Linked DNA regions of Callithrix jacchus. Each later gene encodes a partner of the first gene's protein in a complex. Links are inferred from orthologs where the notes say so. Each region holds a gene or a part of one and is shown in the gene's direction. Other genes may lie near its edges. The genes, in order: GTF2F1, ERCC3 and POLR2D.

What was found.
Region 2: GTF2F1 (region 1) and ERCC3 share a complex: the UniProt entries of both Homo sapiens proteins name them as parts of the TBP-based Pol II pre-initiation complex. The link is inferred for Callithrix jacchus from reciprocal best matches to the Homo sapiens genes GTF2F1 and ERCC3.
Region 3: GTF2F1 (region 1) and POLR2D share a complex: the UniProt entries of both Homo sapiens proteins name them as parts of the TBP-based Pol II pre-initiation complex. The link is inferred for Callithrix jacchus from reciprocal best matches to the Homo sapiens genes GTF2F1 and POLR2D.

What each region holds. Positions count from the first base shown.
Region 1 is NC_133523.1:6,031,170-6,035,363, reverse strand, and holds the start of GTF2F1 (general transcription factor IIF subunit 1), read left to right. Parts: upstream 1-1,361; 5' UTR 1,362-1,515; coding exon 1,516-1,527; intron 1,528-1,611; coding exon 1,612-1,658; intron 1,659-2,468; coding exon 2,469-2,541; intron 2,542-4,194. UniProt on the Homo sapiens protein: TFIIF is a general transcription initiation factor that binds to RNA polymerase II and helps to recruit it to the initiation complex in collaboration with TFIIB. It promotes transcription elongation.
Region 2 is NC_133507.1:37,190,244-37,193,855, forward strand, and holds part of ERCC3 (general transcription and DNA repair factor IIH helicase/translocase subunit XPB), read left to right. Parts: intron 1-760; coding exon 761-1,075; intron 1,076-3,612. UniProt on the Homo sapiens protein: ATP-dependent 3'-5' DNA helicase/translocase. Binds dsDNA rather than ssDNA, unzipping it in a translocase rather than classical helicase activity. Component of the general transcription and DNA repair factor IIH (TFIIH) core complex.
Region 3 is NC_133507.1:36,558,670-36,562,887, forward strand, and holds the start of POLR2D (DNA-directed RNA polymerase II subunit RPB4), read left to right. Parts: upstream 1-1,343; 5' UTR 1,344-1,366; coding exon 1,367-1,439; intron 1,440-4,218. UniProt on the Homo sapiens protein: Core component of RNA polymerase II (Pol II), a DNA-dependent RNA polymerase which synthesizes mRNA precursors and many functional non-coding RNAs using the four ribonucleoside triphosphates as substrates.

The sequences.
Region 1 (4,194 bases):
GATCCACCCGCCTCGGCCTCCCAAAGTGCTGGGATTACAGGCGTGAGCCACGCGCCCGGCCGGGAATATAAATTAATGACATTTCTGAGGCTTCTGACTCCCCAGAACTTATGGGGTCTACCCCCTACACTAACCCACTACAGGAATTAAAAAGTTTACACCCCAGACTACTTCTGCCTCTCTCACTCCTACATTCCGAGGAGTTGGCAGTTCTTGACATTTAGTGGATGAGGAATAAATGAAACCAGACATGTCTTGTTCCCCTTCCCTCTGCGTAGCCTACAACTCCTATGCATCCCTCAGTGGCCAACTGAAACCTCCCGTCTTCTCTGAGCCCTCAGAGCCCCGCTGTGCTTCTCCTGCTCCTTCCTGGGTTGTAGATTCCCATTTTATGAGTCTCCGCCACGACACTGTAACCCGCAGAGGACAGAGAGCTGGTTTGATATATTCACCTGGCGGAGCCCGGAACCCAGCAGCGTGCTTGAGTATTTCCGAACTAGAGCAATGAATGGTTGTGCTGTGAGCATGCGCAATTGTGTTACTGCCAGGCTTGAGGGGTGTGTGCACGCCTGGAATGGGGTAGGGGAACTTGCACCTCCCTCCCGTCCTCTGCAGCCTCCTTCCCTTCCCCCCAGTAAGCCAGCCAGCCACCCCCACGACGTTACTCTTCTCCGGGGGCCTCAGAGCCCTGCCCATTTGGGGCAGCTTGGACTTGCAGAGACCCATCCCGCCAGCAGCCCTTGGGGTGGTCGCGCCCCGATTCCGGGCAGGCTCTGACCCCTCCTGGCTCGGCTCAACGTCACAAGGGTCCCCGCTCCGGTCATTTTGCGGGAATGACGGGGTCCACCCCTTCTGGGCAGGTAGAGGAAACGAACCCCAAACAGGCCCATAGGGAGCCAAGCGGCAGTTCGACTGGACCCGAGTAGGCCTCAGTTGCTATGGTGACGCGGCCTTCCAAGCCCCAAAGTCCCGAGCGGCATGACGCATGCGCAAAGCGCCTGGGAGCCCGCAAGGAGGACTAGCTTCCTTCTTCCCACCCAGGATGCCCTGCGGTCCTTGGGTGCTGACGTCACGAAGGAGGGCGGTCCCACATTTGATGACCGCACTGTACATAGGAGCATCAGCGACCAAGGCCGGTTATTTGATCTCAGACTCGGCCTTGTTGCGTCTGAAAAGGGGCAGGGGTGGCTCTTTTGAGGTGGCCATAGACGCCGAGGAACATAAGTGACGGCGCATTGAGGTAGCCACAGCCGCTTAGAAGGTTGCCATCGCGACGCGGCCGCTGGAGGGTTTAGCTTCCGGGTTAGGCGGCCGCGGAGGCGTAGACGGAATAACCTGAACGCCTCTTCCGGTTACCCTTTCCCAGTGCCAGAGGCGCCTAGGGTAGGAATCCTCACACGGGGACCGGAACAGAGACCCGACAAGGAACGGCGGCTTCCCCGAGATCGAGGGACGCGCTAGCCAGAGGAGAAGAAAGGAACCCGGGTCGGACCACGGAACCACTGACCATTGCCCATGGCGGCCCTAGTGAGTGTGGATTTGGCGGGGTTCGGGGGTCCCGGCGGCGACCTCGGCGGCACCTTACTCACCGTCCGCTTCCTCTTTCCGCAGGGCCCCAGCAGCCAGAATGTCACTGAATACGTCGTTCGAGTTCCGAAGTAAATCCCCTACCCCATCTCCCACTCCTCTCCACCCCGCAAAAGTGAAAACCTTTACGGTCCTCTTAGCCTGACGTTTCTGGCCCTGTCTGTGGTTCTCCCTCCAGACCGGGGGACTTGGAGGGCAGGGCTGCGATTAAGCTGAGGCTTCTCTGGAGGCAAACACTGCTTTTTGTATGAATGAGTGCATTAATACACAGCACGATTCAGCCTCCTGGCCTAACGTTCGAGAGCATATGATGCCCAGGCTGTCTCGTCCTCTTTCAAAGCGAGCAGGCTGCCTTTCCTTTCCAGGCCTTTGTACATCCCGTTCCCTCTGCCATGAGTGCCTCCCCTCAGCCCCCAAACGGTGACTCTGTTGGGTGAATTCTTGTTGATTCTGCAAAACTCAGCTCCAGTATCATCTTCCTCCAGGAAGCACTCCCTGACTGACCTCCCTCCTCCCCAAGGCTGAGTTCCCAATAATCTCCACATCTTGGGTTTCTCCCAATCTTTGTTCCTCCATTTGTTCTTCGTCTGCACGCAGTTAAGAGGGGATGGGGTCTAGCTTCTCTGGCAGACTGGGATTCCTGCAGTCTTCCGTATCCAGTGTTGACAGGCAAAACAGACTGAATGAACCAGGGTGGGTTTGTTGAGTGACTGAATTAATGATTCAGTGGAATGGAATGCTTGAATTAATGGTTCAGTTGAATGGAACGATCGAATTAATGATTTGATTGAATTAATGATGTGTTCACATTGATTGATTAAATTAATGATTGAATTGAATTGATGTATTGGATTGGCTCTATCTCTTCTAATCCACTCTAGGAATACAACCAAAAAATATAACATCATGGCTTTTAATGCAGCTGATAAAGTCAACTTTGCCACGTGGAATCAGGTAAGTCCCTGGGTCCTGGGGGTCGGGGGCTGGGGTGGTGAGAGAACCTGACCCTGACCTTGGTGGTTGTAATAGTTGCTTAGCTGTCATAGTAACTAAGTCTTAATTTTCTCACTTTTCCCAAGTGGAGATAAGGTAGATGACAAAGAGTTGGGTGCAGTAGTTTGTACCTGTAATCTTAGCACTTGGGAGGCCAAGGCAGGAGGCTTGCCTAAGGCCAGGAGTTCAAGACCAGCCTGGGCAATATAGCAAGACCCTATCTCTACCAAAAATAAAATAATTAGCTGGATGTGGTAGTGTGCATCTGTAGTCCTGCACAGGAGGCTGAGGTAGGAGGATCACTTGACCCCAGGAGTTGAAGGCTGCAGTGAGCTATGATTACACTACTGCACTCCAGCCTGGTGACAGAGTAAGACCTGTCTCAAAAAAAAAAAAAAAAAAAAAAAAAGATGGCAAAGGCCCAGGCCAAGCTCCTGGGTGTCCCTGTAAGTTACGTTTAGTAGGACCACAGGAGGCCATTCCTTAATGGAGAACATTTAGAAGTTGTGCCCACTGATGGCCATTTTTGCCAAGGTTTATCTGGCTGAGGGAGGGGACTGGGCTAGGGCCTTCCCCAGAGCCCCTGCCATCAGAGGCTCTAGAAAGGACTGTGGGAGCCATTAAAGCATCCTCCACGGGGAAGTTGTATTGTGATCTGGCTGCTGTGGGGAGGCAAACTGTGGGTTTGAGGGCGGATAAAGGGAGAACAGGGTGGAAGCAACTGGGCTGACTGGTCTAGGTGAGTCCTGGCCTGGGGATGTGGAGGCCGTGAAGGTGATGAGATGTGGCTGGATTCTAGAGTGTTTTGGAAATGGTACATATGGACCTTGAAGCAAGAGCTTAAGGGTAATTGGGACCTTATTGGCCACATAGGTCATGATTAATGGTTACATTTTAGAGATTTTGGTGTCTTACTGTCAACAAGTTTGGCACAATGAATTTCTTTTTATTTATTTAAATTTATTTTTTTGTGATGGTGTTTCACTTTTGTTGCCCAGGATGGAGTGCAATGGCACGACCTCAGCTCACTGCAACCTTCAACTCCCAGGTTCAAGCCATTCTCTTGCCTTAGTCTCTCATGTAGCTGGGATTACAGGTGCCCACCCCCACTCCCACCTAATTTTTGTATTTTTGGTAGAGATGGGGTTACACCATGTTGGTCAGACTGGTCTCGAACTCCTGACCTCAGGTGATCCACCCACCTTGGCCTCTGAAAGTGCTGGGATTACAGGTGTGAGCCACTGTGCCTGACCTTTTTATTTTCTTTCTTTCTTTTTTTCTTTTTTTTTTTGAGACGGAGTTTTGCTCTTGTTACCCAGGCTGGAGTGCAGCGCGATCTCGGCTCACCGCAACCTCCGCCTCCTGGGTTCAGGCAATTCTCCTGCCTCAGCCTCATGAGTAGCTGGGATTACAGGCACGTGCCACCGTGCCCAGCTAATTTTTTGCATTTTTAGTAGAGACGGGGTTTCACCATGTTGACCAGGATGGTCTCAATCTCTTGACCTCGTGATCCACCCGCCTCGGCCTCCCAAAGTGCTGGGATTACAGGCTTGAGCCACCGCGCCCGGTCGCTTTATTTTCTTTCTTTATTTTTTTGAGATGGAGTCTTGCTCT
Region 2 (3,612 bases), on another chromosome or scaffold:
CACTCAGTGCATCCCTGAGTTCTCAGTCCCGTTTACCGTGTAATAATGATAGTGGACTTTTGCCAAGTCCCTTCTCCTGTGGGCTAGGCATGCTGTACCCCAGTGGCGTTACTGTCCTTTGGCTGTGGGCAAGGTAAGGTACTCCTCGGCTTTAGTGTTTCTTTTTTCTTTTCAAGACAAAGTCTTGCTCTGTCGTCCAGGCTGGAGTGTGCTGTGGCACCATCTCGGCTCACTACAACCTCCGCCTCCTGAGTTCAAGTAGTCTCCTGAATACCTGTGATTATAGGTGCCTGCCACCATGCCCATCTAATTTTTTGTATTTTTAGTAAAGGTGGGTTTCACCATGTTGGCCAGGCTGGTCTTAAACTCCTGACCTCAAGTGATCCACCCACCTTGGCCTCCCAAAGTGCCGTGATTACAGGTGTGAGCCACCACACCCAGCCTGGTTTTTCTGTCTTTAAAATGGCAGTAGTAGGCATTTCTCTTCTCACTGGTTTGAGATTTTAACATTTAAATGAGATACATGTGAAGTGCTGCAGTAGGCCCCAGCACCTGCTAATTCTCACATGTGTGTGAGGTGGGCGTGTCTTCTCATTATAAAGAAGAAAACAGGCTGGAGCCATGTGTGTCACACAGATGTCAGCTCTGCAAACTATTACAAGACATTGTCCTAGATTGCTGTACTTAAGAGTCACTCTGCCTGTTCCTGTCCTTCATTTCAGCCTATCCTTGGGTGGGAACTTAATGTTGTTTCTTGTAGGTGCTGGAAAGTCCCTGGTTGGTGTGACTGCTGCATGCACTGTCAGAAAACGCTGTTTGGTGCTGGGCAACTCAGCTGTTTCTGTGGAGCAGTGGAAAGCCCAGTTCAAGATGTGGTCCACCATTGACGACAGCCAGATCTGCCGGTTCACCTCCGACGCCAAGGACAAGCCCATTGGCTGCTCCGTTGCCATTAGCACCTACTCCATGCTGGGCCACACCACCAAAAGGTCCTGGGAGGCCGAGCGAGTCATGGAGTGGCTCAAGACCCAGGAGTGGGGCCTCATGATCCTGGACGAAGTGCACACTATACCAGGTAAGCCGTCTGGAGTTGAGCTGTCCGCTTGTTGAACAGACAGACCAATTTCCATTTGTTAGTTTGGGAGAGGGACTGCTGTGTAGCCCACCCAACTGGCTAAAAAGAAGTGTTGGGTAAAGCTTTTTAATAATGCTTAAGTTTGGGTGGGATGCAGGCAGGAGTGTTCACATTTACAGCTTTCTTAATCACTGGCTCAGTAGTCATATAGAAAATGAAACTTTCTTTCCTCCATCTTTCTTTTGCTGCTCAGCTTAATCAGTTTTTTAATGGCCCTCTAAAAACTGGATTAGGAGCACTGAAAAACCCTTCCGCAGCGGTGGTGATGTGTTTTCTTTGAAGCCTGAAATGTTGATTCTTAGTCAGTATGTAAAAGAAGCCCTGCTTCTTCGAGTATTACGGGCAAACCTTTTTTAAAGCTGCTGTATTGATTTAATTTATATACCATAAAATCACACCTTGCAAATATGTAATCCAGTGCGTTGTAGTAAATTTGTGGAGCAGTGTGCAGCCATTACCATGATCCAAGTTTTTTTTTTTTTCCTGCGATGGCATCTCACTCTGTTGCCCAGGCTGGAGTGCCGTGGTGTGATCTTGGCTCACGGCAACCTCTGCCTCTTTGGTTCAAGTGATTCCCCTACCTCAGCCTCCCGAGTAGCTGGCTAATTTTGTATTTTTTTTTTTTTGAGGCGGAGTTTCGCTTTTGTTGCCCAGGCTGCAATGACATGGTCTTGGCTCACTGCAACCTCTGCCTCCCGGGTTCAAGCGATTCTCCTGTCTTAGCCTCCCGAGTAGCTGGGATTACAGGCATGCGCCACCATGCTAATTTTGTATTTTTAGTAGAGACAGGGTTTCTCCATTTTGGTCAGGCTGGTATCGAACTCCTGACTTCAGATGATCCACCCGCCTCAGCCTCCCAAAGTGCTGGGATTACAGGTGTGAGCCACCACGCCTGGCCAAATTTCTGTATTTTTAGTAGAGACGGGGTTTTGCCATCTTGGCCAGGCTGGTCTTGTACTCCAGCCTCATGTGATCTGCCCGCCTGGGTCTCCCAAAGTACTGGGATTACAGATGTGAGCCACTGCATCCAGCCACCATGATCCAGTTTTAGACTTCCTTTATACTCATTTGCAGTCAGTCTTTGTTTCTTTGTCTGGTTCAGGCGGCCACTGAACTGCTTTCTGTCACTATAGATTTATGGAAAATTTATTTTCTTATGTCTGGCTTCTTTTACTTCACATAATGGTTCATATGTGCCTTAGCATTTATCAGTAATTTGTTTCTTTTATAACTGCATAGTTTTTTGGGTGAATCTTTTTTGATAAAAACAGATTAAGGGATTTTGATTAACAGGTTAGTGCTGTGCATGGTGGCTGACACCTGTAGTCCTCTAGCGCTTTGGGAGGTGAAGGCAGGAGAATTGCTTGAGCGCAGGAGATTAAGATCAGCCTGGGTCACATAGTGACACATGTCTCTACAAAAAAGTTTTTTTAATTAGCCAAATGTGGTGGCGTGCACCTGTGGTCCCTGCTGCTCAGGAAGCTGAGGTGGGAGGATCACTTGAACCTGGGAGGTTGAGGCTGCAGTGAACCATGATTGTGCAACTGCACTCTAGCATGGGTGACGGAGTGTGAGACCCTATCTCCAAAAAAAAAAAGAAGAACGATTAGGGTAAATTAAGAAGTCTGGAATAGACGTTTCTATGAACAAAATGAAATCTGAGGCATTTCCCAGGTAGTGTTCAAAATGTTGTCAAAATGGCCCCCGCATCTGGCTCTTTCTGTGCACTGATGAGTTTCAGGAGATACCTAGAGATGTTCACAGCTGGCCAGGGAGGGATTGGAGGTCTTTCTGATGGGTGTTGCAGGGTATGGGTTCTGCTGTGGGAAAGTACTTGGCACAGAGAGACAGCACAAGATGGCCATGCTGCCAGAGGAGAAAGAACATAGAAACAGTAGTCAAGGCTGAGGAAGGATAGAGGTATTGGGGCAGATCTTGTAGGACCTTGTAGGCGACAGCAAGAACTTTGGTGTTGTACTCTTAGTGTGAAGACATCTAAGGGGTTTGAGCAGAGGGTGATGTGAGCTGACTTTACACTCTAAAAATACCACCCTGGCTGCTGTGCCGGGAATAGACTGAGGGAAGCAAGATGGAAGCAGTGAAGTGGGTTTGTAGAATTCCAATAAGAAGTGTGAACCAGTAAGGATGAAAGTATGATCCAACTCTGGATTTGTAGTGAAGCTTTTAACTCACAGGTCAAATGGGGGGATCAGAGAGAGAAATCAGGAATGACACTAAGGTTTTTGGCTCAAACAAAGGGAAGATAGAGTGGGCAGTGCTATCAGAGATGGGGGACATTGTCAAAGGAGCTGGTCTGGAAGGTGACTATCAGAAGTAGCGCTTTAGATATATGAATTTGAGTTTCCTGTTAGATATTTAGGCAATGGCAAAAAGGTAAAAAAATAGGCAAAAGAAATTGACAGACATTTCACCAAAAAAGGCATTACTTATGTCAAAGAAGCACCTGAAAAAGTATT
Region 3 (4,218 bases), on another chromosome or scaffold:
TTTTTTGAGATGGAGTCTTGCTCTGTCGCCCAGGCTGGAGTGAAGTGGAGTGATCTTGGCTCACTGCAACCTCTGCCTTCTGGGTTCAAGCGATTCTGCTTCACCCTCCCCAGTAGCTGGGACTACAGGTGCGTGACACCACACCGGGCTAATATTTGAATTTTTGGTAGAGGTGGGGTTTCGCCATATTGGCCAGGCTGGTCTCGAACTCCTGACCTCGTGATCCACCCGCCTCAGCCTCCCCAAGTGCTAGGATTACAGGTATGAGCCACCGCGCCGAGCCGATTTCTATAGTTTTTAGAGGTGAGGTCTCACCGTGTTATCCAGGCAGGTCTTGAACTCTGGAGCTCAAGCCATCCTCCAGGCTCGGCCTCCCAAAGTGCTGGAATTACGGGCCTGAGCCACCGTGCCCAGCCCAATTCATTTTTTATTAAATCAACAGAGTTTACAATATGACCATCTAAATAAACATTGTTGACTAATGAGCCGAGATTGTTGACTAATAAGCTATGATTATTTCCTTTATTGTACAGCCTTTTGCCCTTTCTCCAGTGTTGAAAACAGCATCACTTTTCATTTGCTTTTTCTTTTTTTTTTTTGAGACAGAGTTTCGCTCACTCGCCCAAACTGGAGTGCAGTGTCGCAACCTCCACCTCCCGGGTTCAAGCGATTTTCTTGCTTCAGCCTCCCGAGTAGCTGGGATCACAGGCGCCCACCACCACGCCCGCCTAATTTTTGTATTTGTAGTAGAGATGGGGTTTCACCCCGTTGGCCAGGCTGGTCTCAAACTCCTGACCTCAGGTGATCCGCCCGCCTCGCCCTCCCAAAGTGCTGCGATAACAGGCGTGAGCCACCGCGCTCAGCCGTCATTTGCTTAATTTTCTACGCATCATCCAAATGTTCCAACAGACGTGTGGTTAAAGCCTTCGAATATCATTGTCCGCATGCTCAGAAGTATCAAATATCCCCCAGAAATCAATACAGTTTTAAAAGTTTAAGTCAGTAAAGGAAATTGGACCGGGCGCGTTCTGAGGCGCCAATCCTGCTTTCCATCAGCAGGCGTTCCTGCATCTCATCTGACCCTCTCTGCCCAGAAAGGCTTAGGGGCTGCCCCAGGACGTCCGCGCGGTGAGGCGCATTGGAGAAGAGAGAGAGAGAGTGCGGCGGACCCCAATCCCGCGCAGGGTACCCCTCGGCGGCTAGGAGTTTCCCAGACCTCACCAACCCGTCCTCTAGTCGCGCCGGGCCAGGCCCACCCTCGGCGCCCCGCCCACCCCTCGGTGCCCCGCCTGAGGCCACGCCCCTTCTGCTGCCGTTCTCCGCGCTTCCGCTTCCGGCAGCGTGGGTGGTGGCGGGCCGTGCGGTGATGGCGGCTGGCGGCAGCGATCCGCGGGCTGGCGACGTAGAGGAGGACGCCTCACAGCTCATCTTTCCTAAAGGTTGGGCTCGGGCTGCCAGACTCTCCCGCGCCACTTTGCGTGGTCCCCGCAGGCCTGGCGTTAGCCACGCTTCGCCCGAGGCCTGGCCTCAGCGGCGGCTCAGGCAAACCCTGGCGCGTTGTAGTGCTGGGGAGGAAACATGGAACCGGGAGGGGCCGCCTGGCCAAGTGGGTTATTTTATGTGATAGCAGACTGCGAAGTTCCGGCGGGTTGTGTTAAAGATAAATAAAGCCGGACACTCAGGTGGTAAGGTCAGATTTTAAACTAACTGTTGCGCTATGGAAAAGAGTCCAGCGTGAAGCGAACTCAGCTTCGATTAGTACAAAACCTCTGGGCGTTTTAAGGGAGAATTAGGGAATAGGTTGTGGTGAGCGGGGGCTCAGGGGAGTCAGGGAAGTGAGATATTTAAAAAACCGGGAAGACGAGGCTTGGTCCGTGTGAACCCACAGTGGTTTGTTTACTGGCGCACCTATCGAAGTTAGGCCCCTACCTTCCCCCTGAGACGGAGAGACAGGGCTGTCTTCAGCTGTTGGGTAGAACAAAAAATTATTTTGGTAGCCTTCAGTTTTCTCAGGCACGCACTTTAAGCGGTTTATGGTGATCAAGGGGAGGCTATTCTTAGGGATGAGGTCTTCAGCTCAAGAACTTTACAGTATATTGTATACAGCTATCTTACTCTTTATTGATTGTTTGAGATAGGGTCTCGCCCTGTTGTCTAGGCTGTAATGTAGTGGCAAGATCAGAGCTCACTGCAGCCTCAACCTCTCTGGCTCAAGCGATCCTCTCACCTCAGCCTCCCAAGTAGCTAGGACCACAGGTACATGCCCCCATACCTGGCTCATTAAATTTTTTTTTTTTTTGTAAAGGCAAGGTCTCACTATGTTTCCCAGGCTGGTCTCAAACTCCTGAGCTCAAGTGAGCCACAGCACCTGACCTATCTTATTCTTTTTTTATTTTTCCCCCACCCGAGACGGAGTTTCGCTCTTGTTACCCAGGCTGGAGTGCAATGGCGCGATCTCGGCTCACCGCAAGCTCCGCTTCCTGGGTTCAGGCAATTCTCCTGCCTCAGCCTCCGGAGTAGCTGGGATTACAGGCATGCACTATCATGCCCAGCTAATTTTTTGTATTTAGTAGAGACGGGGTTTCACCATGTTGACCAGGATCTCGATCTCTCGACCTCGTGATCCCACCCGTCTAGGCCTCCCAAAGTGCTGGGATTACAGGCTTGAGCCACCACGCCCGGCCCTAACTTACTCTTTTTTTTTTTGGAGACAGTCTCGCTCTGTTGACCAGGCTGGAGTGCAATGGTGCGATCTCGGTTCACTGCAACCTCCACCTCCTGAGTTCAAGCATATCTCCTTCCTTAGCCTCTGGAGTAGCTGGGATTTCAGGTGCGCCCAAGCCCTGCTAATTTTTGTATTTTTAATAGAGATGGGATTTCACCATGTTGGCCAGGCTGATCTTGAACTCCTGACCTCGTGATCCGCCCACCTTGGCCTCCTAAAGTGCTGGGAGTACAGGTGTGACCTACTGCGCGCACCCTCTTACTCTTTTAATGGGCTAGGTAGTACTTATTGATTGTACCTTAATGCTGTTTTTTTGTTGTTAGAGATAGAAGTTACTTCCAGTGTTTGGAGGGTTTTCTGGGTTTTTTTGATTTTTTGTTTTTTGTTTTTTTTTTGAGACCGAGTTTCGCTGTTGTTACCCAGACTGGAGTGCAATGGCACGATCTCGGCTTACCGCAACCTCCGCCTTCTGGGTTCAAGCAATTCTCCTGCCTCACCCTCCCGAGTAGCTGGGATTACAGGCACGCGCCACCATGCCCAGCTAATTTTTGTATTTTTAGTAGAGACGGGGTTTCACCTTGTTGACCAGCATGGTCTCGGTCTCTTTTTTTTTGAGACGGAGTTTCGCTCTTGTTACCCAGGCTGGAGTGCAATGGCGCAATCTCGGCTCACCGCAACCTCCGCCCCCTGGGTTCAGGCAATTCTGCCTCAGCCTCCCGAGTAGCTGGGACTACAGGCACGCGCCACCGTGCCCAGCCAATTTTTTGTAATTTTTAGTAGAGATGGGGTTTCACCATGTTGACCAGGATGGTCTCGATCTCTTGACCTCGTGATCCACCCGCCTCGGCCTCCCAAAGTGCTGGCATTATAGGCGCGAGCCACCGCGCCGGGCCGGTTTTCTGTTTTTTTTTTTAAGAGACAGGGTCTCACTGTGTTTCCCAGGTTGGACTGCAGTGGTTATTCACAGGCTCAGTAATAGCACAGCCTCAGACTCCTGGGCTTAAGCAGTTCTTCCGCAGCCTCCCAATAGCTGGGACTGGTGGTGCCCAGCCTCCTTTCAGTTTTTTATTTATGGAATGAGGGTCATATGTTTCCATAGGTAGATTTATGAAAGTTTTTGGCATGATAGAAATAATAGTTTCTTTTTTAAGGGATAACTAAAAAGATGCTTTTCTTAATTTGATGATACACAGATTTTTTTGTACTTGGGTTTTGTGTAGGTACTTTTTGCTTAGTGAGTTTATTACACTCTGCATATAATTTTTGATGAAATCAGGTAGTGTCTGGTACACATGAAAATTTTGCTGAATTGGATACAGTTGACTGTGAACAACACAGGCTTGAACTGCACGGTCCACTTATACGCAGGGCTTTTTCCAACCAAACTTGGATCAGGCTGTGAAACTGAGGATACAGAGGGCAGGCAGGCTTTTTGTATGCGAGTTCTGCAGGGCCAACTGTGGGACCCCTGTATGCTTAGAATTTGGTATGTG